7 linked regions of the Oryctolagus cuniculus genome follow. The protein of the gene in region 1 interacts with the protein of each later gene in a pairwise test. Links are inferred from orthologs where the notes say so. Each region holds a gene or a part of one and is shown in the gene's direction. Other genes may lie near its edges. The genes, in order: HSPB1, NVL, FXR1, PPM1A, PELO, WDR83 and BAG3.

Region 1 (3,399 bases):
CGTGGCGCCGGCCGTCCTCCTCTATCTTTTCATTCTGTCTTTCAAATAGAGAGAGAGAAAAGGAGAGAGACCCTCCATCTGCTGGTTCACTCCCCAAACGGCCACGACAGCCAGGCTGAAGCCAGGAGCTTCTACGGCACAGCACCAGCCTCCAAATAATTAAATTAAAAAAGAAAGGAAACAGGCTCAGAGAGGGGAGGGGGCTTCCTGCTACCCCAGCCTCTCAGCAGTGAGTGACCGGGAGTCTGGCTGCTGTGGGTGGGGAGCCCCAGCCCCCGTGTGTGTCTGGGAGAGGAAGCAGGGAGCGGCAGGGCCACAGGCTGACCCTGCCTGAGTTTTAGGGAAGACCAGGGCTGTCACCCAATTTCTTGGACCTTTAGGTTCCTCTCACAGAACGTCTACCAGGGGAGAAGGCAGGCTGGACAGGGGGTGCCCGTGAAGTGCAGACAGAGCAACTGTGGAGTATAAAGGATGGCCAGCGGAGTCGGGGGAGGGGGGTGTCGGAGGAGGCAGGTGGGGGTGGGGTGTGTGTGTGTCATGGAGGAGGCAGGTGGGGGTGGGACTGTGTCAGATGGAGGAGGCGGGTGGGGGTGGGGGGTGTGTGTCATGGAGGAGGCAGGTGGGGGTGGGAGTGTGTCAGATGGAGGAGGCAGGGGAGGGTGGGGTGTGTGTCAGATGGATGAGGCGAGTGGGGGTGTGTGAGAGGGGGCAGGAGGGGGTGGGGTGTCCAGGCTCACAGCCAGCTAGAGTGAACTGTACCACGTGGAGGCCCCTTGCCCTGCGCCCCGAGGACCATCAATTGCAGAAAGGGAAACTGAGGCCCAGCAAGGAGATTTTGCCCCTAGTCACAGCAGGAAGCCAGGGAGCCAAGCCCCGCCTGCTCTCAAGTTTGCTGCACTTGAGGTTCCCTGGCCAGGGTTTAAGGGAAGCCAGGTCCTAGCAGGGAGCCGGAACAACAAACTTCCTCCAGACCCCTCTCTCTCAGCGCTAGAGCTTGGAGGTCTCTGGTCCGGGTAGGGGGGAAAGGCCAGACCCCACCAACTCCGCCTCCTCATCCCCTTCCAGGTGGATGACGACAGCGAACCAGGATGACCCAGCAGGCGCATGACGTCACTGCATTCCCTGCTAACCCAATCACCAAGCATTTTCGCTGCCAGATTTTCCAGATGGGGAAAGTGAGGCAGGAGCCTCACTGCCACAAGCCAGCCCGCCTGGTGGTAGAAGCATGCGCCCCGCCCCAGGGACCCCCCGTGGTCACTCTGGGACCACCCAACCTCCTGTGACCCCTGGGTCTTCCACAAAAGACACGGGCTGGCCGCCGGCCACTGCGCTTGAGCGCGCAGGCTGTAGGGCCCGGCCGTGGGCGCGGCTCCAGCCACGCATTTCGCTTCCCTAAACCGGAGAAGGTTCCAGATGTGGGCAGAACCTTCCACGGCCCGCCCCTGTAATCACGGGGGAGGAATTCAGGGGGCGGGGCAGCCCCCAGCTGGTCATTGCCATTAATAGAGACCCGAAGCACCGCCTGCTAAAAATACCCGGCTGGAGACCCATAAAAGCGCGTCTGGGGCCGCAGCCCCGCACTTCTCCGCGCCCCTGCCCCGCGCACCGCAACCATGACCGAGCGCCGCGTGCCTTTCTCGCTCCTGCGCAGCCCCAGCTGGGACCCGTTCCGCGACTGGTACCCGGTGCACAGCCGCCTCTTCGACCAGGCCTTCGGGCTGCCGCGGCTGCCCGAGGAGTGGGCGCAGTGGTTCGGCGGCAGCAGCTGGCCAGGCTACGTGCGGCCCCTGCCCGCCGCGGAGGCCCCCGCCGTGGCCGCGCCCGCCTACAGCCGTGCGCTCAGCCGGCAGCTCAGCAGCGGCGTCTCGGAGATCCGGCACACGGCCGACCGCTGGCGCGTGTCCCTGGACGTGAACCACTTCGCCCCGGAGGAGCTGACGGTCAAGACCAAGGACGGCGTGGTGGAGATCACGGGTGAGCCCCGGGCCGGGGCGCAGGGGCCGGGGGTGGGGTGGGGTGGGGTGGAGTTAAAAGTCCGCCGGAGCGCCGCCCCGGCCCGCGGCGCGGCAGGGGCGCAGGGGACGGCGGGGAGCGGTGCGGGCTGCCCCTGAGGGTCCCTCTATTGGGGGCAGAGGCGCTGCTTCCAGCCAAGACCCCCGCCCCAAATCAGCAGCGCCCCAGGACCGCGCAGGGAGACTGGGGGGGGGGGCGTGTGCCCCGCCCCACGCGCGCCTGCGCGGCTGGCCACTCCCCAAACTCGGAACTTTCCAGAAGTTTGAGGGTCCCGACAGTCAGGCGCACGCCACACCCCCTGCCAGTCTCCAGCAGTTGCTGGCTCAGGCTGTGCCTGTCTGGGGCCCCAGCTACCCCTGAGCAAGTGGAGGGGCCCCCTTCCCGTGACCTCTGACCTCCCTCTGCACCCCCCCAACCCAGGCAAACACGAAGAGCGACAGGACGAACACGGCTACATCTCCCGCTGTTTCACCCGGAAGTACACGTGAGTCCTGGCCCTGGCCAGCTAGGGGGTGGGAACCCGGGGAGGAGTGACCCCTGCCGCCCAGCGCTGTGTTAACTCTTTCTTGCCCTCTTCCTTCCCTGCCGCGTCCAGGCTGCCCCCCGGCGTGGACCCCACGCTGGTCTCCTCCTCGCTGTCCCCTGAGGGTACGCTCACCGTGGAAGCGCCGCTGCCCAAGCCGGCCACGCAGTCGGCGGAGATCACCATCCCGGTCACCTTCGAGGCCCGCGCCCAGATCGGCGGCCCGGAAGCCGGGAAGTCCGAGCAGCCTGCGGCCAAGTAGAGCGCCCTCGCGCGCCGCCCAGCCCCCAGCACCCACCTGCGTGCCCTTTTGATACTGTTAAGCTTCTGGTCTTCGCAAATAAAGTTCAAAGCAGCTGCTTGCTCCTGCCTGGGACCCTGGTGTTTGGAGGGGGGAGGGGCGGGTCACATGGCGTCATTTTGGCACAGAGGGGTAGACGACCCTAGGGGTCTCCTGTCCATGGAGAAGGGGAATGATTGCAACCAGACAGGGCCAGGTGTGGGAGTCTGCAAACCCAGGAGACGCACCTGTCCCAGGTGAGGAGGAACTGAGCAGGAGTAGGGGAGGGCGCTTGCCCGGAGCTCCCAGACCCTCGGTGAAGCAGGCAATTCCAGGTGACTGAGCCCACCTGGGCAGCCCCTTGGTGCGGCATGGGCTCTGCCCCTGCCCCTGGGCACCGTGCGCAGGGGGAAGGGGGTGTGGCCCAGGTGTTGGTCCGGAAGGCTGTGATCTTGATATGCAGAGCTGCCTTGACTTGCCCGGGCGGGGACAGCCACACCCCCTCAGCCCTCTCCCTCTTCTGCCTGGCCCTCCCTGCCAGCCTCTTCCCTAGACTTAAGGAGAGGGTCCCGACGGATCTGAA
Region 2 (3,500 bases), on another chromosome or scaffold:
AGTGGTGATAATGGGCTTCTGTGTCCATACTCACCTGTGTGGTCTTATCAACATTGGCTGTGATTTTTAGTTGACTGACCAGCTTAGGGACATTATCTAGAGCTTTGAAAGAGCAGGGCCATGTGTTCCACAGAGAAGTTCAATGTGAGTTCTATACTTGAGCCTGCCTAAGACCACGGGAGCCCTGAAAAATAATTAAATGACAGCCAGAGAATTAAAGCTAACTGTCTATGCAGCAAGATCAGCCTTCCCTGGAACTGGGGTTGAATGTCTGTAAAGCCAGTAAATGTCCAATAGTAGCCAAAACTAGGACTCAGTAACAGAGTATGTCTCGGGAAGTACTGTTTAAGTAGTGAGGTAGAAATTTAGTTAAGGAATTTTTTAAAATTCATTTAACTTATTTGAAAGGCAGTGGGGGAGAGATCGATTTTTTTTTTTTTTTTAAGATTTATTTATGGGGCCATCTCCGTGGTGCAGTGGGTTAACGCCCTGGCCTGAAGCGCCAGCATCCCATATGGGCACCCATTCCAGTCCTGGCTGCTCCTCTTCTGATCCAGCTCTCTGCTTTGCCCTGGGAGAGCAGTAGAGGATGGCCCAAGGGCTTGGACCCCTGCACCCACGTGGGAGCCTTGGAAGAAGCTCCTGGCTCCTGGCTCCTGGCTCCTGACTTCAGATCAGTGCAGCTCCGGCCATTGCAGCCAACAGGGGAGCGAACCATTGGATGGAAAACCTTTCTCTCTTTCTCTCTCTCTCTCTCTCTCTCTCTCTGCCTCTCCTCTCTCTGTGTAACTCTGCCTTTCAATTAAATAAATAAACCTTTCAAAAATCTTTTAAATTACTTTAAAAAGATGGACTATCATAGCTGCAAGTTGGATGAGAAGCAGAGGCAGAACTCAGTCCCTGGGGCTCACATTTGGGATGTAGATATCTCAAAGAGTGCCTTCACCTGCTGTGCCACAAGGTCTGTTCCCAGCTGAACTACTTCTTTTTTTTTTTGACAGGCAGTTAGACAGAAAGAGAGAGAGACAGAGAGAAAGGTCTTCCTTTTCTGTTGGTTCACCTCCACTGCACTCCCGGGCCACAGCAGAGAGCTGGACTGGAAGAGGAGCAACCAGGACAGAATCCAGTGCCCCAACTGGGACTAGAACCCGGGGTGCTGGCACCACAGGCAGAGGTTTAGCCAAGTGAGCCATGGCACCGGCCTGAATAAATCTTAAAAAATAATTTTTTAGGCATGCAATACAAGGCATGAACAACATATTAAAATGAAGTTGGAGAAGTAATTGTTCTAATACAAACTTGGATGTGAAAGCATGTATGAAGCTAGCTTTTTGTGATAATGAAATTAATTTTTTTATTAAATTCATTTTATTTATTCAAATAGTTTATTTGCATGTCGAGGCTTTTATTTCTGGTAGATGTTGATTTAATCTACTCTAAAGATAGTCCTATAAATTTATTCATATTACTTCGTCTCTGTCATATTGCAAAGTTCTTAAAGGCAGAGTGTTTTTTAAAAGAATTGATCTGTATTCCTCAAAGTAATTACTGTAGTCCCTAACAAAGGAAATTCTTTGCCATAATCCTTGAATAACAGGGGCTATGTAATAGCGTTTAGCGTTTGAGGAGTGAATGAATGAGATCTGATCTTACATGCTACCCATTGGGATGCCCCTGATGAGGATGAAAGGCTTCAGAGTAATATAGCTGGTGGCTTGTTTTTACTATTAATTTGGAATCTGAAAAATTTTCCCTGTCTTTTCCACAGGATACTTCAGACTTTGTGTAGAAAACTGAGACTTCCTGAAACCTTTAACTTTTGTCACTTAGCACACCTAACGCCTGGCTTTGTGGGTGCTGATCTGATGGCGCTCTGCCGGGAAGCTGCCATGTGTGCCGTCAATAGGGGCCTAATGAAGCTTCAGCAACAGCAGCAGAAACATCTGAAAACTGAAGTTGGCCAGGAGGAGCCACTGGGAACTGAGCCCACTTCTGTCACACAGGTGCTTTCTGTGAAGGCCCTCGAACCTGCCCTTTAAATGTTCTCTGTGTTATCTCACATTCCAGCAAGTCAGTACAGATGAGATTTAGTCCTTTACAGAAGTTTAGCAGCTCCTCTGAGAGCACTGCCGTCTAAGTTTATTTCCTGGTTAACTTTTGATTCGGCATGCAGGAAAGTGCTGACGAAACCAGCTCCTTAGCTACAAACAGCACTAGAGAGCTGTTTTCTGAATGTGAGAGGGAAGTTTATCAGTCCAAGATCACTAGTAAATTTTTCAAGTTTTCTAAGTTATGGAATATTAATACAATATTTATATAGCATTTTATATTTTGTACCATGGCTTCTGTATGTTATATAATTTGAACCATATAACCTTGTGAAGTAAATACATTATTTTACCCCTTTACACTCAAAGACACTAAGCCTGAGATGATGACTTGCCCAAGGTCACATAGCCTCTACTTTATAAAACAGGGACTTGAATCTTGCTATTGCTTTCAAATAACTTCTTTTAAAATAAAATGATAATCTGGGAATTTACAAATTGAACTACTTCAGTTTGTAAATTTTTTTTATGTTTCCTTGCGTGTTTTTCACAAAGTAAGAAACCTGCCTTTGAACATCAAGATTCAATAGTGCTAGGAAATTTGCGTAATCTCTGCTAAGTTGATAAGCCATCAAGAAAGCATATAATGAAAGAAGAGTACCAGAGTAACTTTGTTGTGATTTCATCAAAATACATCTGCTTCATGAATATAAATGAAATGGGAAATATCATGATTGATTAAATAAGTGTTTTTAATTTCTTTTGTTTGCTGTATGTCACCCAAATGTAATATACAGATATCTTCCTACCTACTGGATTATAGTTGGTGTACATATACTTGTCCAAGGTATTTGATCCATTCAGAATAAAACGAACTGGGCTGGTGTTGTGACACAATGGGTTAAGCTGCCACCTGCAACATCTGCATCCCATATATGTTCCACTTCTGATCCAGCTCCCTGCTAATGCAAATGGGAAAGCAGCAGCAGGTGACCCAAGTAATTGGGCCTCTGTTACCCACATGAGAGACTTGGAAGTGTTCCAGTCTCCTGGCTTTGGGCTGTCCCTGCTCCAGCCATTGCAGCCATTTGGGGAGTGAACTAGCAGATGGAAGATCTATTTTTCTCTCTCCCTTTCTTTATCTTTGCCTTTCAAGTAAATATATATATATATTTAAGATTTATTTATTCCTTTCTGCGCTATCCTGCAAGGGACCCATATGGCGTTGTTCATGATTCCTGGTGTAACTTAAGGGGAAGCTGTCATAATGTTCAGAGCCTTGATGTCTTGCGAATGAAGGAGGAGGACTTCTTCAAATTCCTTGCAGCAGGAACCCACCTAGGTGGCCCAACTTTGACTTCCAAATGGAACAGTACATCTACAGAAGGAAAATCTGAAGAGGACCTGGGAGAAGCTTCTGTTGGCAGCTTGTGCTATTGTGGTCAATGAAAA
Region 3 (4,044 bases), on another chromosome or scaffold:
ATCATGAGATGACATACACTTTGTTGGTCGAAGCCCTTAAATGGTGTGATTCATTTAGTTTGATGGGCATTTAGTTTACATTTTTGCCTACTTAACATTTAAAAAAAAGTTTTATTTATTTATTTTGAAAGGCAGAGGAATAGAGAGAGATTAGAGAGTGAGATCTTTCAACTGCTGGTTTGCTCCCCAAATGGCTGCAGCCGTGGGGGATCAGTATAGATGGAAGCCAAGAGACTGGGACTCCTTGCTGGCCTTCCATGTGATTGGCAGGGGCCCAGGTATTGGGGCCATTTTCTGCTGCTCTCCCAGAGGCATTAGCAGGGAGTTGGATTTGAAGCAGAGCAGCAGGGACTGGAACCAGGCCCCAGCTTCACCAGCTGTGCCATAGTGCCTGCCCTAACCTGAGCAACATTTATAAAAGGAACATCACGTGCATAGGGCTATTGAGCCCTTTTGCAGCCACCCTCCCACTGCAGCTTCCTTCCTGAACCTTTGGAGATGTTGAAGTGCTCATCAAGTGTCCTATACATTTGTGTGTGTAGTGAGGGATTCCAAAAGCTGGAACACTGGGCATTCCATCCGGAGCAGAGCGCCAGCAAAGCATCTTGTTTAACTTACATGTGAACATGGTAAAACAAGTGTACCAACACATACACAAAAGAGCCCCTATTATTTATTTCCAGAGGCCTTGCTTTGGGGAAATAAAAAGTTTGAATATTAAGTGGTGAAAACACTAGAGTATCTCTAGTATAATGCTTACAGAAGCAGGGTAGGTTCTGGTAGAAAAGCCACACGAAATAATTCTGCTTTGACCCTGTTAAACTGGGTAGGGGTTGCAGCAGGGGAAAGCGTCGTTTCCCGCCCTTCTAAGTTTCCCTGACTACCTCTAATAATGGCTATTAACCTCAACTCGGCTCCAGGCTGTGAATACAGCCACGTTGCAAGGAAAACACTGCCATTTAAGCAGCTGAAGTGGTAACAGGTGGGGACCGCGCTTGGTCAAACTGAGGGAGTGTGGAATTGTGGAATTTGAGCGAAGAAAAGTCAGATTTAACCAAAACAAAAAAAAAGGTCGAAAGAATTTACAGCCCAATAATAGGCACTTTTTTAGGTTCCCCTCTCCCCTCAAGAAATTGCGCCAGTGGGCAACGGGAGCCCCGAAAGTTGCTCTTCGCCAGCTGGGCAGCCACTCGAGGGTTGCTAGCACTTGGAGAAGTTTGAGCGCCGCATGCGTGAGGTGCTCGCGTCCCGGCAGCCGGAGCCGGGCCAGCAGCGAGCGCCGCGGGGTGGGGCCGCAGGCGCAGGTCAGCAAAGGTCGGCCGATTGTGTCGGGAGGCGAGCTGGGCGTAGGCGGCGGCGGGCGGAGCCCGGGGCGCGTGATGTAAGGAGCGGAGGGATCCCACCTGGAGAGTCGGGGCGGCACGCTGAGACCCCAGGGGTGTGGGGCGGGGGATCCCAATCCCCGCCCTGTTTGCCCCACCCCTCCCCCCGCCTCCTTCTCGCCCCTCCCCCCTCCTCCCCTCTGGTTGGAAAGTTTCTAGAATCTCTTCCCAGCGGCCTTTGCGGTTCCAACATGGCGGAGCTGACGGTGGAGGTTCGCGGCTCCAACGGGGCTTTCTACAAGGTACTGACCCTTTCGCCGCTTTGTCGGGTTTTCTGGGGGCCGGAGCGGGCTTAGGGGAGGGTTGGTGATCCCTGAGAATGCGGTTTGGGGTCGAAGAGGGCGGCCAAGCCAAAGCCAGCGACTGCTGGGTTCCTCGCTTCTCCTCCCTCCACCCGCGGTTTAACGGTCTCGGGGGCCCGGGCTCCGTTATGTTTTGAAACAACACATCGGACGCCTCTTGCCGTTTCCTACTTAGGAGCCTTCTTGTAGGGTCTTCATGCTGTCCTTGGCTGGCCGGCGAGGACAAACCCAATGGCTGCCGGCGGCGAGGAGCTCCCTGGGAGCAGGCCCGAGCGCGGGGAGGTGGGCAGTCGAGGAAGGAGGCGGTGGGATTGTGTGGTCACACCCGCTCCCCCGCCCCTCGGACTGGGCTGAGCGGGAGCTCCTCTGCCTGCTCCTCCGGACCCCTCCCCACCTCCTGAGGGGGTGCGTCGCGGAATCCTAGGAATTCACCTTTGTATTATTAGGATTTGGGGCCCCCAGTCTGAACCGTGTCTGCGAGGGGAAGGGGTCCTGGATTGAGGGGTACGATCGAGAAGAGAAAAGTAGGAAACCTAGAAATGTGGCGGGTTGAAATATTTTTTGCGGCCTGGAAAATTGGGCGGCGCCTTCAGCCCCTCTGTTGCCGGAGAAAAGGCGAGAGTTCGAGGCTTTAAAGTAAGCTTTAAAACGTGAGCTGAACGGGGGAGACAGGTGAGGAGGCGACTGGTTAATTTCTGTCAGTTATTTGGTAAGGTGCGGCCTTTTTTTTTTTTCTTCCCCCCACGAGGTTCTTTTTGTTTGTTGCCTTTGGAGGAAGGAGATGCATTACTATGGAATCGGGTTGGAAAACGGAAGAGCGGTTGAGAGTGGAGGAATTTGGTCGGGGCTTCCAATGTAAAAGGTTACGAAATTAAATTTAATCACAACCGTGGTGTTTTTATTATTATTTTTTTTAATTTTCACCATTATAGCACTCCTTTTTTTCTTAGTTCTCTTTCTTCCAAAGTATGCCAGGAGGTTACAAGATCAATACAAAATCTCCCCAGCTGTTGTCTGTCAGTCAATCTCACTAAGCCAGCATCTCAAATGTTTGAGAGTCTTGGCTATTTTTATGAAGGGCTGCCTTGTAATAGATGAGTATTGTGCCTACGCAGAGTGAATTCTCATAGGTCTTCATTTCGGCGAACCCTTTATCCCATAAATAATTTATTCTTACTTAGTGGTCATGATTTCCTATTTTCAGCATTTTGTTTTTCCTTTCCTGATTTACTGATTGGCTCTGTGTATTTGGTTTAGCTTGTCACGAGGTAAAAGCATAGCAGAAAATCATAAAGCCCCCCCCCCAACAGTCTTTAACAAGTTTAAATTTTCTTAGATGGTTCACATAAAGTAGAAACAGTGCACGTTGAAACGGAGTGTTTAGTATCACCCTGTAATGTAGGTCTAGTTATTTCAGGTTTAAAAGTAGGTATCAGAGAAGCTACCTAAGTGAAATTTGAATAGATATTTCATTTACTTCATTTCTTTCTGAAACCAAGTGGTTTCCTTTTCTGAACAGATAGCCGATATGGGAAGCTTGGGCAGAAGGTGCAGAGAATGAACTTGCCCATACTTTTCCTGTCTAGAGGAGTTTGCATCATCACCATCCCTTTCCCCAGTGGAAAAGTTTCAGATTCTCACTGTTGGGCTATGCAGTTCTTGTGTAAGAGAGGCATGTGTTTTTTTCATTGCATATTGAAAAATTGAAAACGATTATTTTGATTTAACATTTTACCTCATGCAGGTAGCCTGTCAACATAATAAGTCTTCACTTATTTTATAAGATTGGTTAGTCTTTGGTTTCTTGTGGTATTTTTCTTTTCAATCCACTAAATCATGTCTCCATTTGGACCTCTGAAGTGTTGATTACTGATCCTCATCCATACACATCTTCGTTCTGAGATTTCATTGCCCATTTTGCCTCAACAAAGTGAGGTGTGACTTTGGCAAAGGTTGGGAAGTAGACTAGCTACATATGTGTACTGAAATGTTTGCTTTTCAGCCTTGGAAATTTCATGTTCTGCTATAAATCCACTTCTACATATACTTTGTGGAAGTTGTAATCTTTAGAAATCTGGAAGGATAGTGGCAAAGTGTAGAGTGTCTGGATTTGAAATAAATAGGAATTTATGTCTGTATTAAGTTTACCACTGTCTTCCAGTGGATCCCTGAACTAGTCTAAGGCTATTGTCTTGTGTGTAAATGGCAGATTTGAAGTAGTACAATAATTCCCAGTTTTTATTCCACAAAACTGTGCTTTTAGAAAGCAAGTTGACTTGTCACACAGCAACTGTTTTTAACCATTCGATTTTCTAAAAATTTAATATATATACAGTAGAATAAGTTTTTTTGGGTGTACA
Region 4 (3,996 bases), on another chromosome or scaffold:
GATCTCCTTTACTATTTATACATGGTGGTCAAATAGAGTATAATAGTAATGTGTTTTTGCCTTTAGATTATTAGATTATTAGATTAATTTTGGTATATTTGTATAGGAAGCTTTGTGGTTTGTATAATTGCTTTTAACTTGAAATTGACAGGCTGGTGTTTTAGCCCAAAGTGTTTAGCTGCTGCCTGCAGTGCCAGCATCCCACGTGGGCACCAGTTCATGTCCCAGCTGCTCCTGTTCTGATCCAGCTCCCTGCTGATGGCCTAGGGAAACAGCAGAAAATGGCCCAAGTGCTTGGGCCTGTGCCACCCTTAAAGCTATTAGCTTCAGCCTAGCCTCACCCTGGCCGTTGGCAGCCATTTTGGAAGTCAACCAATGGATGAAAGATCTCTTTCTCTCCCTTTCTGTCCATCTCTGTAACTCTGCCTTTCAAATAAATAAATAAATCTTAACAACAGAAAGTTGAAATTGGGCCATTTATAGTAATTTAACAACGTATTAAAGACTTTTTTAATCAACGACTGAAAAACCTCATGGAAGAGGTAGAATTTGAGCCAGACTTTATACTGTTTTCTGTAAGCAGAGAGGAGGAGCATGGGATTCCAGTAAAGGAGGCTGACTTGAGTAAAGGTAGGAGTATGCCAATTGTGAGCATTGTAAGAAGATCTTTTTTTACTTTCTCAGTGGATTCATGTAGTGGGAATAGAACCGGGTAATTTGGATAAACTTTGGAAATTCCTAAACGTGGAACTAAGATGTTTGAATTAATAGGATTCTTATATGTCCTGTGAATTTATTTGTCTTTTCTTGATTGATACACATACGAGTTAGTTCTGAGATACCCTAAGAAAAGGTGCAGTATATCCTTAAACATTTGTCCCGGTTCGTGCAAGTTGATGGCCACTGTCAGGTCCCCTTTCTACCCCAAGCATCAGGGAGATTGTTTTATCAGCTTCCCCTCATCCCCACGCTTTAGGTCTCACTACCTGCGGTCCACTCTGAGCTGTGCGTGATCAGCCTTTCTCCCCCAGTTCTTCCCTGTTAGTGTCCAGTTTGTAAGTCAACAGCACAGGTGTCTGCTTATAGTAAGAGTTGTGAGTACTTGTCTAAGACTTTTGCTGTATCTTCAGAAAAGATAAGGCAGTGATTGACTTTCCTGTTTCTTTTCCTTTGCAGAACTAGAGGATCAAGACATAATGGGAGCATTTTTAGACAAGCCAAAGATGGAAAAGCATAATGCCCAGGGGCAGGGTAATGGGTTGCGATATGGGCTAAGCAGCATGCAAGGCTGGCGCGTGGAAATGGAGGATGCACACACGGCTGTGATCGGTTTGCCAAGTGGACTTGAAACATGGTCATTCTTTGCTGTGTATGATGGGCATGCTGGTTCTCAGGTTGCCAAGTACTGCTGTGAGCATTTGTTAGATCACATCACCAATAACCAGGACTTTAAAGGGTCTGCAGGAGCACCGTCTGTGGAAAACGTCAAGAATGGAATCAGAACAGGTTTTCTGGAGATTGATGAACACATGCGAGTTATGTCCGAGAAGAAGCACGGTGCAGATAGGAGTGGGTCAACAGCGGTGGGGGTCTTAATTTCACCCCAGCACACTTACTTCATTAACTGTGGAGACTCAAGAGGTTTACTTTGTAGGAACAGGAAAGTTCACTTCTTCACACAAGATCACAAACCAAGTAATCCGCTGGAAAAAGAACGAATTCAGAATGCAGGTGGCTCTGTCATGATTCAGCGTGTGAATGGCTCTCTGGCTGTATCGAGGGCTCTTGGGGATTTTGATTACAAGTGTGTCCATGGAAAAGGTCCTACAGAGCAGCTTGTCTCTCCAGAGCCTGAAGTCCATGACATTGAAAGATCTGAAGAAGATGATCAGTTCATTATCCTTGCATGTGATGGTATCTGGGATGTCATGGGAAACGAAGAGCTCTGTGATTTTGTAAGATCCAGACTTGAAGTCACTGATGACCTTGAGAAAGTTTGCAATGAAGTAGTCGACACCTGTTTGTATAAGGTAGCTAGACCTTTTTTTTTTTTTTAAGCATAAAACAATTTATGTTGTATTAATTAGTATTTAATCATTCTGTAACCTGCGGTTCTCAAAAGTAAGTTTTAGCACAGTTGCAGGTTACTCTTCATCTATTATGAAAATACAGGGACACTTTTTAGAAGTAAATTACCCCATTATCATGTATGCAAGTTGTCAACTGACTGGTCTTTTAGTAACCACGATTACTTGGAACCTTCTAATAATGGGGATGTTTATCAAAGGTAAAAAGATTATATTAGAATGCTTCTTTTAAAGGAAGGAAGATGGGGATGGTTAGCTTTCATACAAGTGAAAAAACATTTTAGAAATTTAATACTTTTGCCATGTGATATCTCAGAACATATGTGGAAGTACTTTTCGACTTTGGTTTAATGAATCAGCACCAGCAAAGGTACTTAGTGAGCATTTGGTGTGATGTCATAGAAATAGCCTGGGACATGGAGTCAGAAGAAATTGGTGTGAGACTGTTTCTAACTCAGGTAAGTGATTTAAATTCTCTGGAAAAATCAGTTTAATTGTGAAAAGGGTAAGACATACTCTCACACTGTGTCCTGTATGCTTGTTGGGAGCATCAGAAGGGATCATATCCATAGATGAGCTAGTTTGGCTGTTTTGTTCTATAGTGAGACAGACCTGGATCAAGGCTTACCTCGTAGACTTTTGTACTCTTATACTCTTTTTTTTTTTTTTTTTTTTTTTTTTTTTTTTTTTAAAGAGTTACAGAGAGGGGGGAGGGAGAGAGACAGAGAGATCTTCCTTCCATCCACTGGTTCACTCCTCAGATGGCTGCAACAGCCGGGGCTGGGACTAGACTATTCCAAAGCCAGGAGCCAGGAGCTTCTTCCAGGTCTTCCACATGGGTGCATGGACCCAAGTACTTGGGGCCATCTGCCGCTGCTTTCCCAGGCATGTTAGCAGGGAGCTGGAATGAAATATGTAAGTTGTCTAGTTTAACATATAATACGTCCTCTATACAAGCTGCTGTCTCTCCTAGGTAAGTTATAAATGACTCAAACAGGGTTATACAACTTGAGTGGCAGCATTAAAACTAGAAAATCTTGACATTTTACTTATGGCTTATTGTTGTATTTTGTCAGTGGTGGTTTTATTGATTTTTCTTTTTAACACATTGATTTTATAAAATTCGTGTATTTGATTTAACATTCAGAGATTCAAATTCAACATTCTGTATGGTTTTATAGACACACTAGCAACTCGACTTAATTGATACCTGATTTCTGTGATATCCAACGCATATGTTGACATCAATAGAGTAACAGCTCTATTAATAGTGCATACGGTCAGTTTCTGAATTTCAGGAGAACTGAATATGATTTAAGGCACATATGTTGTCACCTTTAGTCTGTAGGAAAGTATCATTTATTGAGTTTATTCTGCACTGCTTGAGAGTTAAATGCTTGTTAGGTAAATTAAGAACAGTTTTCTTGAGTGCAAATACACAGTATACCTTAGATTCCACTTTTTTTTTTAGCTCCTCTGCATTATTTTAAAAATTAGCAAACATATTAACATTTGTCACATCTTATACAATTTTCCTCTGATGATCTTTTCTGTTTCTTAAGTTTGTTTGTTGATTAAGCTAATGATACAGAAGATCAGTCTTTTCCATATACCTGAGTTAAATGCTTAAAAAGTAAAAGTTAACTCCAGTTTCCTAGTAGGAAGGAGAGTAGAGGGAGGCCCCACCATCAATTCAATCATTTAATTAAATCATTTTGAATACTCGGGTATCTTTGAATATATTTCCTAAAAGGTCATTTTTTATAATGATAGTTAAAAGGTAGTTTATAAAGTTAATGTATATAGTTTTACTTCTAACTCCATATTTTACTTAGGAGGCAAATGTGTTGACCCCACAATTTATTGTAAATTATTTTAACTGTAAATTTGTCAGAGATCTGCATAGCAA
Region 5 (2,276 bases), on another chromosome or scaffold:
CCCGCCCGGCAGGTACTTGTAGAAAGCGGACCCGCCCCCTTCCCGGCCTAGCCTCCCCTTCCCTGTCCCTTTCCTAGGGGGCGACCCCCTTCGGTTCTCGTGTGGTCGGTGAGCCCCCGCCAAGGCCATGAAGCTCGTGAGGAAGGACATTGAGAAGGACAACGCGGGCCAGGTGACCCTGGTCCCCGAGGAGCCCGAGGACATGTGGCACACGTACAACCTAGTGCAGGTGGGCGACAGCTTGCGCGCCTCCACCATCCGCAAGGTGCAGACCGAGTCCTCCACGGGCAGCGTGGGCAGCAACCGGGTGCGCACCACCCTCACTCTGTGCGTGGAGGCCATCGACTTCGACTCCCAAGCCTGCCAGCTGCGGGTCAAGGGGACCAACATCCAAGAGAACGAGTACGTCAAGATGGGGGCTTACCACACCATCGAGCTGGAGCCCAACCGCCAGTTCACCCTGGCCAAGAAGCAGTGGGACAGCGTGGTTCTGGAGCGCATCGAGCAGGCCTGCGACCCTGCCTGGAGCGCTGATGTGGCGGCCGTGGTCATGCAGGAAGGCCTCGCCCACATCTGCTTAGTCACTCCCAGCATGACCCTCACCCGGGCCAAGGTGGAGGTGAACATCCCCAGGAAGAGGAAAGGCAACTGCTCGCAGCACGACCGGGCCTTGGAGCGGTTCTACGAGCAGGTGGTGCAGGCCATCCAGCGCCACATACACTTTGACGTCGTCAAGTGCATCCTGGTGGCCAGCCCGGGGTTCGTGAGGGAGCAATTCTGCGACTACATGTTTCAGCAAGCAGTGAAGACTGACAACAAAGTGCTCCTCGAAAACCGGTCCAAATTCCTTCAGGTAAAGCAGTCCTAACCCGGGGTCGATTAAGAACAGGGTGGAGGGATTGGTGAAAAAACACCCCTGAAGTTTTAGAGCTGGGGAAAGTGAAAGAAAGTCCTGTGGTTGGTTGGGATTGTAAATGAGATAAGGAGATGAAAAGAAGCGGTAAAATAGCTCGCAGATTTATTTAATGAACTGTGTTGAAGTCCTTGAACATACAAAGCCTAATTAATGTCTTTGGCTTTAGGTCGGTGTGGGCTGGTTAACGGGTGTTGGGAGAGATTGCTTTTGTCTAACTTTGATAATTGTGATTCTAGGTACATGCCTCCTCTGGACACAAGTACTCCTTGAAAGAGGCCCTTTGTGACCCTACCGTAGCCAGCCGCCTTTCAGACACTAAAGCTGCTGGGGAAGTAAAAGCCCTGGATGACTTTTATAAAATGTTACAGCACGAACCTGACCGAGCCTTCTATGGACTCAAGCAGGTGGAGAAGGCCAACGAAGCCATGGCAATCGACACGTTGCTCATCAGCGATGAGCTCTTCAGGCACCAGGATGTAGCCACGCGGAGCCGGTATGTGAAGCTGGTGGACAGTGTGAAGGAGAACGCAGGCACGGTCAGGATATTCTCCAGTCTTCATGTGTCTGGGGAGCAGCTCAGCCAGCTGACTGGAGTAGCGGCCATTCTTCGCTTCCCTGTGGCTGAGCTCTCCGACCAAGAGGATGACTCCAGTTCTGAAGAGGATTGATGAGTGAGACTTGGAATTAAGACACCCTCTGTCTCACTCTGCCACTGTTAGGTTTCCTTAGCATCCTTGTGACAGCTGCAAGAGGGACACTTTTTGATTCATTCAGGAATTTCTCTTGTGTTTGGTTGCACTGGGTGTTTTATGGTCAGCAGGACATGTATTCAGACTAAATAATAAACTAAAAGGAAATAATCTCCATGTACTATTATCTTTATTAATTGGGATACTTTTATATGGGCATTATGAGTTATTTTTAATATGAAGATTTTACATAGTTAATAAACATGGCTGTATATTGTTTGGGATGGGTCATAAAATCTGCATACTTTGTAATAGTTTTCCTTAGGGAAAAGCGTTTTACCAGTTTATATAATTTTAATTCTACATGATGTTCATGCATTATATTTAATGATCCCTTTTCTCCCCAGCAACCCCAGACTTTTTTTGGGGGAGCAGGGTGGTTGACAATTTTAAGTAGTAGTGAAACAGTTAGTAGATTTGAGTACAGTTTAAAATGGTATTTTTCTTAAGAGACTTGTTTAATCCATCATGTTATAAGTAAACACTTGGCATTTTGTTGTTAGAATTAATCATATTTGCTTTAGAGGGTAACTGTTTCAGATTAGAGATTTGTTCTGGAGAATCTGAAGATAATCCCTATGAACCTCTTTATTTTTAAGATGAGACTGAGG
Region 6 (4,183 bases), on another chromosome or scaffold:
CGCACCACTTCAGCTGGGGGAAGGCAGGGGGCCGCTGCTCAGGATGCCAGGGACCCGACCCCACCCCCGCCCCAACCACATTCCACACTGTGCGGGGCGGGGGACGGTGGACATTCGGGCAGCAGGGACGGCTCGAGCACTCGGGCGCCTGCCGCCTGCGTGGGAGACTTGGATGGACTGCGCGCCTGGCTCCCGGCTCCCAGCTCCCGGCTCCCGGCCCCAGCCCAGGCCCCGCGATTTCTGGCATTTGGGAAGTCAATCAACAGACGGCGATCTCGGTATGTCTGTCTCTCTGCCCCTGTCCTCCTTTCACTCTGCCCGCCCTCCCTAGATCCCAAATAGTAAGTAGAAGATCTCATGCATACTTTTTAAAATGATCCCACTTTGTCCAGTTGGGACCCTACCCTGCCCCCCGGAAGTGGCTCCACCCCCCCCTTCAGAGGCAACGCCAGGTACCCAGCTCCTGGTTCAGTTCCCAAGCTTGTGTCTCTGACCCCACCGAGTTCCCTGAGGCCCAAGAATGGCCTGAGACATCGCCCCATGCTGCCCACCACCATCATTTTTTCCAGAAATTTCTTCCAAGTTGCTTCAAAGGCTGTCTCCACCCTCAGACGGACCTGCGAGGCGCCCCAAGCTGACTCTGAGGCCCCGCACCTTATCTCTGGCTGGCCTCAGGCCCCGCCCCTCTCCGCTGGCTGGCCTCAGGCCCCGCCCCCCGCCGCTGCCCGGACGCCCCGCTTCCACCGGATCCTGCCCCCCCGCCCCCATTCTCTGGCTTAGCCACGCCCACGGGTACCCAGTCCCGCCCACCTTGAGCATTAGACCGCACATGCTGAAGATCATGCCCAGCAGGTTCATGTAGTCTGGCGTCGGGTCATCCAAGGCCGGGTTACACTCACTCGGCGGGGGCTTGTACCTGAGACACGCTCAAGAGTCAGGGACACTCAAGTCTCGCCCCCGGGACAGGCAGGCGGCTCCCTTGGCCCCGACCCGCACCCAAACCCGAGACCCGTCACCACAACGCTGGGGTCCTCCCTCACCTCAGCACTTTGTTGGGCCTCCGTGGGTCCGACATATTGTTGGTGGACATTGCGCGCGGAAGGGCCAGCTGGCGTCTCTTCCGCTCCCGGAGCCGCCGCTTCCGGTGCGGGAGCGGAGGATGCCTTTTAGAGTAACACCCACAGCCCTGACGCTTCCGTTCCACACCGCAGAGGCCAGGACTTTCTCCAGGCAGAAGGGGAAAAAAACTAAACGACACCCAAAATATTCCTTGAAAATTGGAAGTGGTATGGGGGGGTGGCTTGAGAGAGCGGGCTTCGATATTCTCAACATCAGTCACCACAGTATTGAAGGCTTGAATCCGGAAGTGAGAAACCGGAAATCGGTATGGGGGACAATAATAAGGTGACACCCAAGCGCGCCGGGACCGCGGAGCCATGGCTTTTCCTGAGCCGAAGCCGCGGGCCCCCGAACTGCCGCAGAAGCGGGTGAAGACGCTGGACTGCGGGCAGGGGGCCGTGCGGGCGGTGCGGTTTAATGGTGAGCGCCTCCTTCGTGTCGCGGCCTCCTCCCGCCTCCTGAGGGTCTGCGGCCCCATAACCGCTCCCCGTCCGCGCCCGGTGTTCCCCAGTGGACGGCAATTACTGCCTGACGTGCGGCAGCGACAAGACCCTGAAGCTCTGGAACCCGCTGCGGGGGACGCTGCTGCGGACGTACAGCGGCCACGGCTACGAGGTGTTGGACGCGGCCAGGTGAGCCGCGCGGGCTGGGATCGGGGAGCGCCGAGGCCAGGATCGGGGTGTGTTGGGGGGGGGTGGACGGCCACCTTCCCTCCGCCACCTCCTCTTCCTGCCCTGCAGCTCCTTTGACAACAGCAGTCTGTGCTCCGGCGGCGGGGACAAGGCGGTGGTGCTGTGGGATGTGGCATCGGGGCAGGTTGTGCGCAAATTCCGAGGCCATGCCGGGGTGAGTGCAAACCGGGAGACCCCCCTGCCCTCCCCCCAACCCCAAACCCTGAGCCCATGGAGGGTGGACGGGACCGCCACTCCTGACAGCCTGCCCATCAGCAAGCCCCGCCCTCTCACCGCCCCCACCCCCTAGGCTGTGCCCTTGCCCCAGTCCTCCCAAAGTCCAGCCTCCTCTGAGTGGCAGTTCTTGTTTCTCAGAAGGTGAACACGGTGCAGTTTAATGAGGAGGCCACGGTCATCCTGTCTGGTGAGTCTGGCGCCTTAGGAGTGAGGGACCGAGGGGCCATCCCCACCCCCTCTATAGGTGACCCCCATTTCACGGCGGCTTTGCAGGCTCCATCGACTCCAGCATCCGCTGCTGGGACTGCCGCTCAAGAAGACCTGAGCCAGTGCAGAAGCTGGACGAAGCCAAGGACAGCGTCTCCAGCGTGAAGGTGTCGGACCACGAAGTCCTGGCAGGGTGAGTAGACCCTTGGTCTTAGTATATATATTTATTTGAAAAGCAGAGTTACAGAGAGAGCGGGAGAGACAGAAAGATCTTGCATCCACTGGTTCCCTTCCCAGCTGGTTGCAACGGCCGGAGCTGCACCGATCCAAAGCCAGGAGCCAGGAGCTTCTTCCAGGTCTCCCATGCGGGTGCAGGGACACAGGACTTGGGTCATCTTCCACTGCTTTCCCAGGCCACAGCAGAGAGCTGGATCGGAAGTGGAGCAGCCAGGACTTGAACCAGTGCCCATATGGGATGCCGGCACTGCAGACAGTGGCTTAACCAGCACACAGCACTGGCCCCGAGACCCAGGATCTAATCCTTCCCAGCCATGCCATGGACGATCAGAGCTGCCTCTGCACCTGCATCAAAATCTGCTTTCTTCCTCACCACCGTTCATTCACAGCACTGTGCAGTGTATGCCTCCCCCACCCGCCCAACATGGACCCCTCGGCGTTTTGTTTTTTGTTTTTTGTTTTTTTTTTTTTTAAGATTTATTTTTAGGGGCTGGTGCTGTGGCATAGCGGGTAAAGTCCCCAACTGCAGTGCTGGCATCCCATATGGGGGCGAGTTCAAGACCCGGCTGCTCCTCTTCTGATCCAGCTCTCTGCTGTGGCCTGGGAAAGCAGTAGAAGATGACCCAAGTGCTTGGGCCCCAGCACCCGCATGGGAGACCTGGAAGAAGCTCCTGGCTCCTGGCTTCAGATTGGCACAGCTCCGGCTGTTTCGGCCAACTGGGGAGTGAACCAGTGGATGGAAGACCTCTCTCTCTGCTCTGCCTCTCTGTAACAAAAAGAAAGATTTATTATTTTTTTGAAAGAGTGATAAAGAGAACTTTCTTTTAAAAAGATTTATTTATTTTAGGCAGAGAGAGAGGGCTTCCATCCACTGGTTCAGTCCCCAAATGGCCACACGGCCAGGGCTGGGCCAGGCCAAAACCAGGAACTTCACCCCAGTCTCCCACATAGGTGGCATGTGCCCAGCTGTTTGGGCCGTCTTCTGCTCCTTTCCCAGGCGCGTCAGCAGGGAGCTGGGTCAGAAGCAGAGCAGCCAGGACTGGACCACAACACTGGCCCCAGCTGCAAGATCATTTTAATTGGCTTTATATTCTATTCTAGAATTGGGTGAAGCTTTTATTCCGTAAAATAGGATGAGAGCTCCTATGAGCTAAGCAGAGATTGGTTTTATAAACAGGGAAGAACAGAAGGCAGATTGGATTTTCCAGGGATGAGACTGTGGTCTAGCAGGTTAAGCCACTGTCTACAACACCGGTATCCCCTCTGGGCATTGGTTCAAGTCCCAGCTACTCCACTTCCCATCCAGCTTTCTGCCATGGCCTAGGAAAGCAGTGGAAGATGGCCTGAACAATTGGGCCCCTGTACCTGTATGGGAGACCCAGATGAAGCCCCAGGCTCCTGGCTTCAGCATGGCCCAGCCCCAGTGGGTGGAAGACCTCTCTCTCTGTAACTCTTTCAAATAAATAAATATTTAAAAATCAGTAGAAAAGTAACTGCTTAGTTGAGTGCCAGGTTATATCAGGTTACGTTTCTTGCCTCTTTGGGAAACTTGGCTGTTTCCTGGTTCTTTGGTTTTTTAAACATGTATTTATTTATTTGAAAGTCACAGTTACACAGAGAGAGGAGAGGCAGAGAGAGAGGTCTATCATCCCCTGGTTCACTCTCTAAATGGCCGCAATGGCTGAAGCTAGGCCAGTTCGAAGCCAGGAGCT
Region 7 (3,931 bases), on another chromosome or scaffold:
AGATGGTTGGTGACAGCATCCCAAAGGCAACCGGTGACAGTAAAATGGTGCAGCCTTATCTGTTGCGCCATCATCTTGGGTTCTGCCCCACCCCCATCCCACCACTGCTGGAAGCCAGGCGACCCCATGGCCCAGCCACCGGTGTTAGCTCCACCCCCACCCTAATGGGATTCCCTATTCCTACTTCCCTGCCCGCCTGGGGCAAAGGTTTAAGAGGACCTTTTCTTTCTCTCTTTGGATCTCTGTTAGCTCTCCTCCTCTCCTACTCTCTGGCTTCCCCCACCCAACCATAAACCCTTCTAACTCAGGTGTTTGGTGTGTTTTGTGGCGGCTTTCCAGTGACTGGAAGGGCCCGAGGATCATGGTGAAACTGACCGCTCAGAACAGTCCTTTCTGCTTCCCGAGAGATCATCAAAACCCTCAAGAAACCAGAAAATTATTAACACAGGGGAAGCAACTTGTCGATTTTGCCTGGCAGATTCGCCCCAATCTTTAGCCAGAGAACTCTCTGGAACCATTGAAGGGATGGAGGACTGGCTAGTTTGTGGGCTGTAATGCCAGTGGTGGCCGCCACCTTCGTGACATCATAGATGACATCAAGGGTGGCGCGTTGGACCGCCCGGCTAGTTGAGAAGTGCAAGGGAAAACGTTTCACTAAAAACAAAACCCGAACCCAAACTCTGAAAGAATGTGATTTTTAAGTTTTTGACTGAGTTTCTGGAGTTCAGTCATGAGGCTGCTGCAACCTCTCTTCCTCAGGTTTCCGAAGGCAAGCAAGTGAGTCTCCATGTTCTCCCCGCCCGCGTTGTGGAGCCAGAGGAGAGCTCGGGGCATCCCTGGAAAAGGCGCGCGGGGCTCCCCGAGGACCGGGATCTGGACAGCCGCGGCGGCGATGGCGGCGGGGTGGCCGGCTTCCCCGAGCTTAATTAAAGATGCCTTCCTTGCGTGGTCGCGGAGGCGGCGCAGCGGGCGCCGGCGCGGGCTCCAGGGCCCCAGAGCGCAGAAAAGCGGCGCGAGCGCGGGAGCCGCCCACGCGCGGCGGGGTCGCCCGGGACGGCCCTCGGGACCGAGCTCCGCCCCAGCGGCCGGCCGAGGCCCCGCCCCGCGCGCCACGCCCCTCGCCGATGACTCAGGGCGGAGCTCCGCGTCGGCCCGCGCCGCCAACTTCTCCGGATGGGGCCAGAAGTTTCTAGCCGGCCAGTTGCTGCCTCCCTCTCTCTCCTCCTTCCCCTTTGGCAGCGAGGAGGCTATTTCCAGACACTTCCAGCCCTCTCCGGCCACGTCACCCTCGCCTTTAATTCATAAAGGTCCCCGGCGCCGGCTTCCAGGACACGTCGGCGGCGCGCAGGGCTCTCCTCCGGCCGCGGCCCACACAGCGACGGTGCGCCCCGAGGCCCGAGACCCCGCGCCCGGCATGAGCGCCGCCACCCACTCGCCCGTGGTGCAGATGGCGTCCGGCAACGGCGCCGCCGACCGCGACCCGCTGCCCCCCGGCTGGGAGATCAAGGTCGACCCGCAGACGGGCTGGCCCTTCTTCGTGGACCACAACAGCCGCACCACGACGTGGAACGACCCGCGCGTGTCCCCCGAGGGCCCCAAGGTGAGCCGCCGGGCCCGCGGCCCGAAAGGGACGGCGAGCGGCGGCGGGGAGCAGGCCGAGGACGGCCGCCCCGGACGCGGACACCGGCCCCCACGCGCCTCTCCCGGCCCAGTCGCCTCCCGGGACCCGCCCTTGGCCGGCGTCGGGGCTAACGCGGTTCCCCGGGGCGCCCGGGCGCGTTCAGCGGGGACGGGGGGCAGCGCAGTGAGCCGGCGTTCGGGGAGCGGTCAGCCCCGGAGGCCTGTGCGGCCGGCTCGGCCTCGCGTCCCGAGGCCGGGGGTTCGCCCCGCGTGGGCGACGGTCCCCTCTCTGCGTTTCTTGACTCCACTCCCCGCTCCCGGGGGTCTCGAGTCTTTTTCCTGGAATCCGCTGTGCCCTCTGGTGCGACCCGTGGGGAGGAAAAGCCAGGTGCTGCCTTCCTAGGCAGCCGCTGGAGAGAAGGAGGGAGAGAATTTTCCTTGTTATGGTATTCAGATACTCCGCACTTGCTTCCAGTCCACAAATAACCGATGAGCGAGCCTCGAGGGTGGCAGGTGTATGCCTCCCCTACGCATGTGCGGGGAGGTGTGCGCCCTCCCCCTCAGCGGAGAGGGGGAGGAAATAGGAGATTGGGAACGGGTTTGTTCGTTAGAAGACGATAATTGACTTTACTGCTTGTTCAGTTTTCTGTGAATCTGAACGTTTTCAAGATTAAAAGCTTGGGAAAATACATACACTTAAAAAGAGAGTGAATGAGTCCAGGCACAATAAATGCAGTAAAGAGCTGGTAAGTTATTTTGAAGACTTCTAAACTCGCCCCATCATAAATGCTTTATAAACCATTATTTTGGAAGAAAGACATGTATTGTCTGCCTTATTTTTTTGTTCTTAAAAATATTAACAAAATTCTGGTACCCAACAGGGAGATAGTGTACATTCAGCAGTTGTACATTTACAAGAAATTAATTGTATATTCCTGAAAATTGATGTAAGAGGCTGTAATTAACTGGGAAGGGCATAATTACATATACCTTTGTGTGTGTCTGTTCAGCCCTTTATTGGGTGAAGCTTACATTATTTTCAGGCCAGCCCCCTTTCTGGAGATCCAGACCCTTAGGGTGGGACCCTGTTCTTGCTCTTAGACCACAGGTAGCCACAGGCGGGCAGAATCTGCAGGCACTGTGTCTCCAGTGAAGATCAAGTTTGAACATACTGGTTGCCAGCACTATGTTTTCAACTTGAAACTTACCCAGCAAGTTGTGATCTTCTGTACCCACTGCCGGATAGGGTTAGGCTGTGGTTTCATAAACCTTTATAAGGAGGGAAAAACAGGTTGAGCTACTATTATCCTTCTCAACAAATAGAAAATAATAACTAAGTCAGAAGTCCAGCACTGGAAAAGTTGATCTGAATAGGAAACAACCAGAATGCTAAAGTTGAGACATCTTCCAGGATCATTTGGTTCAGCCTCTTTTCAGTTGATAAACCCAACAAGTTCATGTGTTTTTTGAAGGTCATGCAGCTAATTCCAAAAGCAAGGAGAGAGCTCGGTGGGAAGGCCTACTAAGAGGCAGTGTGGATCCGTTGGGAAGAAGTCAGAAGTAGCTTGAATTGTTATGAAACTGACGCATGCGGGCTGGAATTCTTGATTACGCGATTATCTTTGTGTCCTCTCTGTTATGGGGTCACTGACCTCTACCGTGTGTGTTTGCTTGGATTCTGATGGCTCAACGTGATCAACTCAAGAGGAGTTTTCTTAACCAAATTAGCAGCTTGGATTTGTCCGTGCAGCAGCGGGAGAACACCAGCACTCAGCCCATGCAGTGTTGGGGCCTCATTATTTCAGACCTGCGCTTTGATATCGGGGTGACTCACTCAGTTTCACTTACATTAGGTACACCGTACTCCAGACTAAATATGGTGGAAATGCCTTCCATCCAATTTTACATTAAAAACTGGGTTCTTGGGGTCGGTGTTGTGGCGTAGCAGGTGACACTGGTGTCTCATGGGCACTGATTCGAGACCCAGCTGCTACACTTCCAATCCAGCTCCTAGCTAGTGTGGCTGGAAAAGCAGCAGAGTGGCCCAAGTGCCTGGGCCTCTGCACCCGTGTGGGAGACCCCGAGGAAGCCTCTGGCTCTTGTCTCAAGTCTGGCCCAGCCCCGGCTTTGGTGGCCATTTCAGGAGTAAACCAGCAGATCTCTCTTTTTCTCCTTCTCTATAATTCTGCCTTTCAAGTAAATAAAAAAAAATCTTAAAAAAAAAAAAAAATGGATTCCTGAAAAGGGACATGGCCTGAAGGGCTGATTTTGGCAGAGGTGAGCTGAGCTTCCGGGAGCTCCCTCACGTTCA

What was found.
Region 2: the proteins of HSPB1 (region 1) and NVL interact in binary tests that used the Homo sapiens proteins (3 or more experiments, as listed by UniProt). The link is inferred for Oryctolagus cuniculus from reciprocal best matches to the Homo sapiens genes HSPB1 and NVL.
Region 3: the proteins of HSPB1 (region 1) and FXR1 interact in a two-hybrid assay, tested with the Homo sapiens proteins (2 studies listed by BioGRID and IntAct). The link is inferred for Oryctolagus cuniculus from reciprocal best matches to the Homo sapiens genes HSPB1 and FXR1.
Region 4: the proteins of HSPB1 (region 1) and PPM1A interact in a two-hybrid assay, tested with the Homo sapiens proteins (2 studies listed by BioGRID and IntAct). The link is inferred for Oryctolagus cuniculus from reciprocal best matches to the Homo sapiens genes HSPB1 and PPM1A.
Region 5: the proteins of HSPB1 (region 1) and PELO interact in binary tests that used the Homo sapiens proteins (3 or more experiments, as listed by UniProt). The link is inferred for Oryctolagus cuniculus from reciprocal best matches to the Homo sapiens genes HSPB1 and PELO.
Region 6: the proteins of HSPB1 (region 1) and WDR83 interact in binary tests that used the Homo sapiens proteins (3 or more experiments, as listed by UniProt). The link is inferred for Oryctolagus cuniculus from reciprocal best matches to the Homo sapiens genes HSPB1 and WDR83.
Region 7: the proteins of HSPB1 (region 1) and BAG3 interact in binary tests that used the Homo sapiens proteins (3 or more experiments, as listed by UniProt). The link is inferred for Oryctolagus cuniculus from reciprocal best matches to the Homo sapiens genes HSPB1 and BAG3.

The regions. Positions count from the first base shown.
Region 1 is NC_091450.1:44,266,199-44,269,597, reverse strand, and holds HSPB1 (heat shock protein beta-1), read left to right. Parts: upstream 1-1,451; 5' UTR 1,452-1,613; coding exon 1,614-1,974; intron 1,975-2,433; coding exon 2,434-2,497; intron 2,498-2,608; coding exon 2,609-2,798; 3' UTR 2,799-2,899; downstream 2,900-3,399. UniProt on the Homo sapiens protein: Small heat shock protein which functions as a molecular chaperone probably maintaining denatured proteins in a folding-competent state. Plays a role in stress resistance and actin organization.
Region 2 is NC_091444.1:38,403,478-38,406,977, reverse strand, and holds part of NVL (nuclear valosin-containing protein-like), read left to right. Parts: intron 1-1,768; coding exon 1,769-2,003; intron 2,004-3,500. UniProt on the Homo sapiens protein: Participates in the assembly of the telomerase holoenzyme and effecting of telomerase activity via its interaction with TERT. Involved in both early and late stages of the pre-rRNA processing pathways.
Region 3 is NC_091435.1:98,750,804-98,754,847, reverse strand, and holds the start of FXR1 (RNA-binding protein FXR1), read left to right. Parts: upstream 1-1,244; 5' UTR 1,245-1,573; coding exon 1,574-1,624; intron 1,625-2,217; exon of another isoform or gene 2,218-2,356; intron 2,357-4,044. UniProt on the Homo sapiens protein: mRNA-binding protein that acts as a regulator of mRNAs translation and/or stability, and which is required for various processes, such as neurogenesis, muscle development and spermatogenesis.
Region 4 is NC_091451.1:10,259,571-10,263,566, reverse strand, and holds the start of PPM1A (protein phosphatase 1A), read left to right. Parts: upstream 1-1,196; coding exon 1,197-2,030; intron 2,031-3,996. UniProt on the Homo sapiens protein: Enzyme with a broad specificity. Negatively regulates TGF-beta signaling through dephosphorylating SMAD2 and SMAD3, resulting in their dissociation from SMAD4, nuclear export of the SMADs and termination of the TGF-beta-mediated signaling.
Region 5 is NC_091445.1:73,605,688-73,607,963, forward strand, and holds the end of PELO (protein pelota homolog), read left to right. Parts: intron 1-77; 5' UTR 78-127; coding exon 128-853; intron 854-1,152; coding exon 1,153-1,584; 3' UTR 1,585-1,776; downstream 1,777-2,276. UniProt on the Homo sapiens protein: Component of the Pelota-HBS1L complex, a complex that recognizes stalled ribosomes and triggers the No-Go Decay (NGD) pathway.
Region 6 is NC_091447.1:62,229,279-62,233,461, forward strand, and holds the start of WDR83 (WD repeat domain-containing protein 83), read left to right. Parts: upstream 1-1,383; 5' UTR 1,384-1,436; coding exon 1,437-1,539; intron 1,540-1,630; coding exon 1,631-1,751; intron 1,752-1,859; coding exon 1,860-1,965; intron 1,966-2,165; coding exon 2,166-2,214; intron 2,215-2,300; coding exon 2,301-2,427; intron 2,428-4,183. Other genes in the region: WDR83OS (PAT complex subunit Asterix), read right to left, coding at 1-13, 811-916, 1,041-1,090. UniProt on the Homo sapiens protein: Molecular scaffold protein for various multimeric protein complexes. Acts as a module in the assembly of a multicomponent scaffold for the ERK pathway, linking ERK responses to specific agonists.
Region 7 is NC_091446.1:11,066,323-11,070,253, reverse strand, and holds the start of BAG3 (BAG family molecular chaperone regulator 3), read left to right. Parts: upstream 1-1,131; 5' UTR 1,132-1,414; coding exon 1,415-1,600; intron 1,601-3,931. UniProt on the Homo sapiens protein: Co-chaperone and adapter protein that connects different classes of molecular chaperones including heat shock proteins 70 (HSP70s), e.g. HSPA1A/HSP70 or HSPA8/HSC70, and small heat shock proteins (sHSPs), e.g. HSPB8.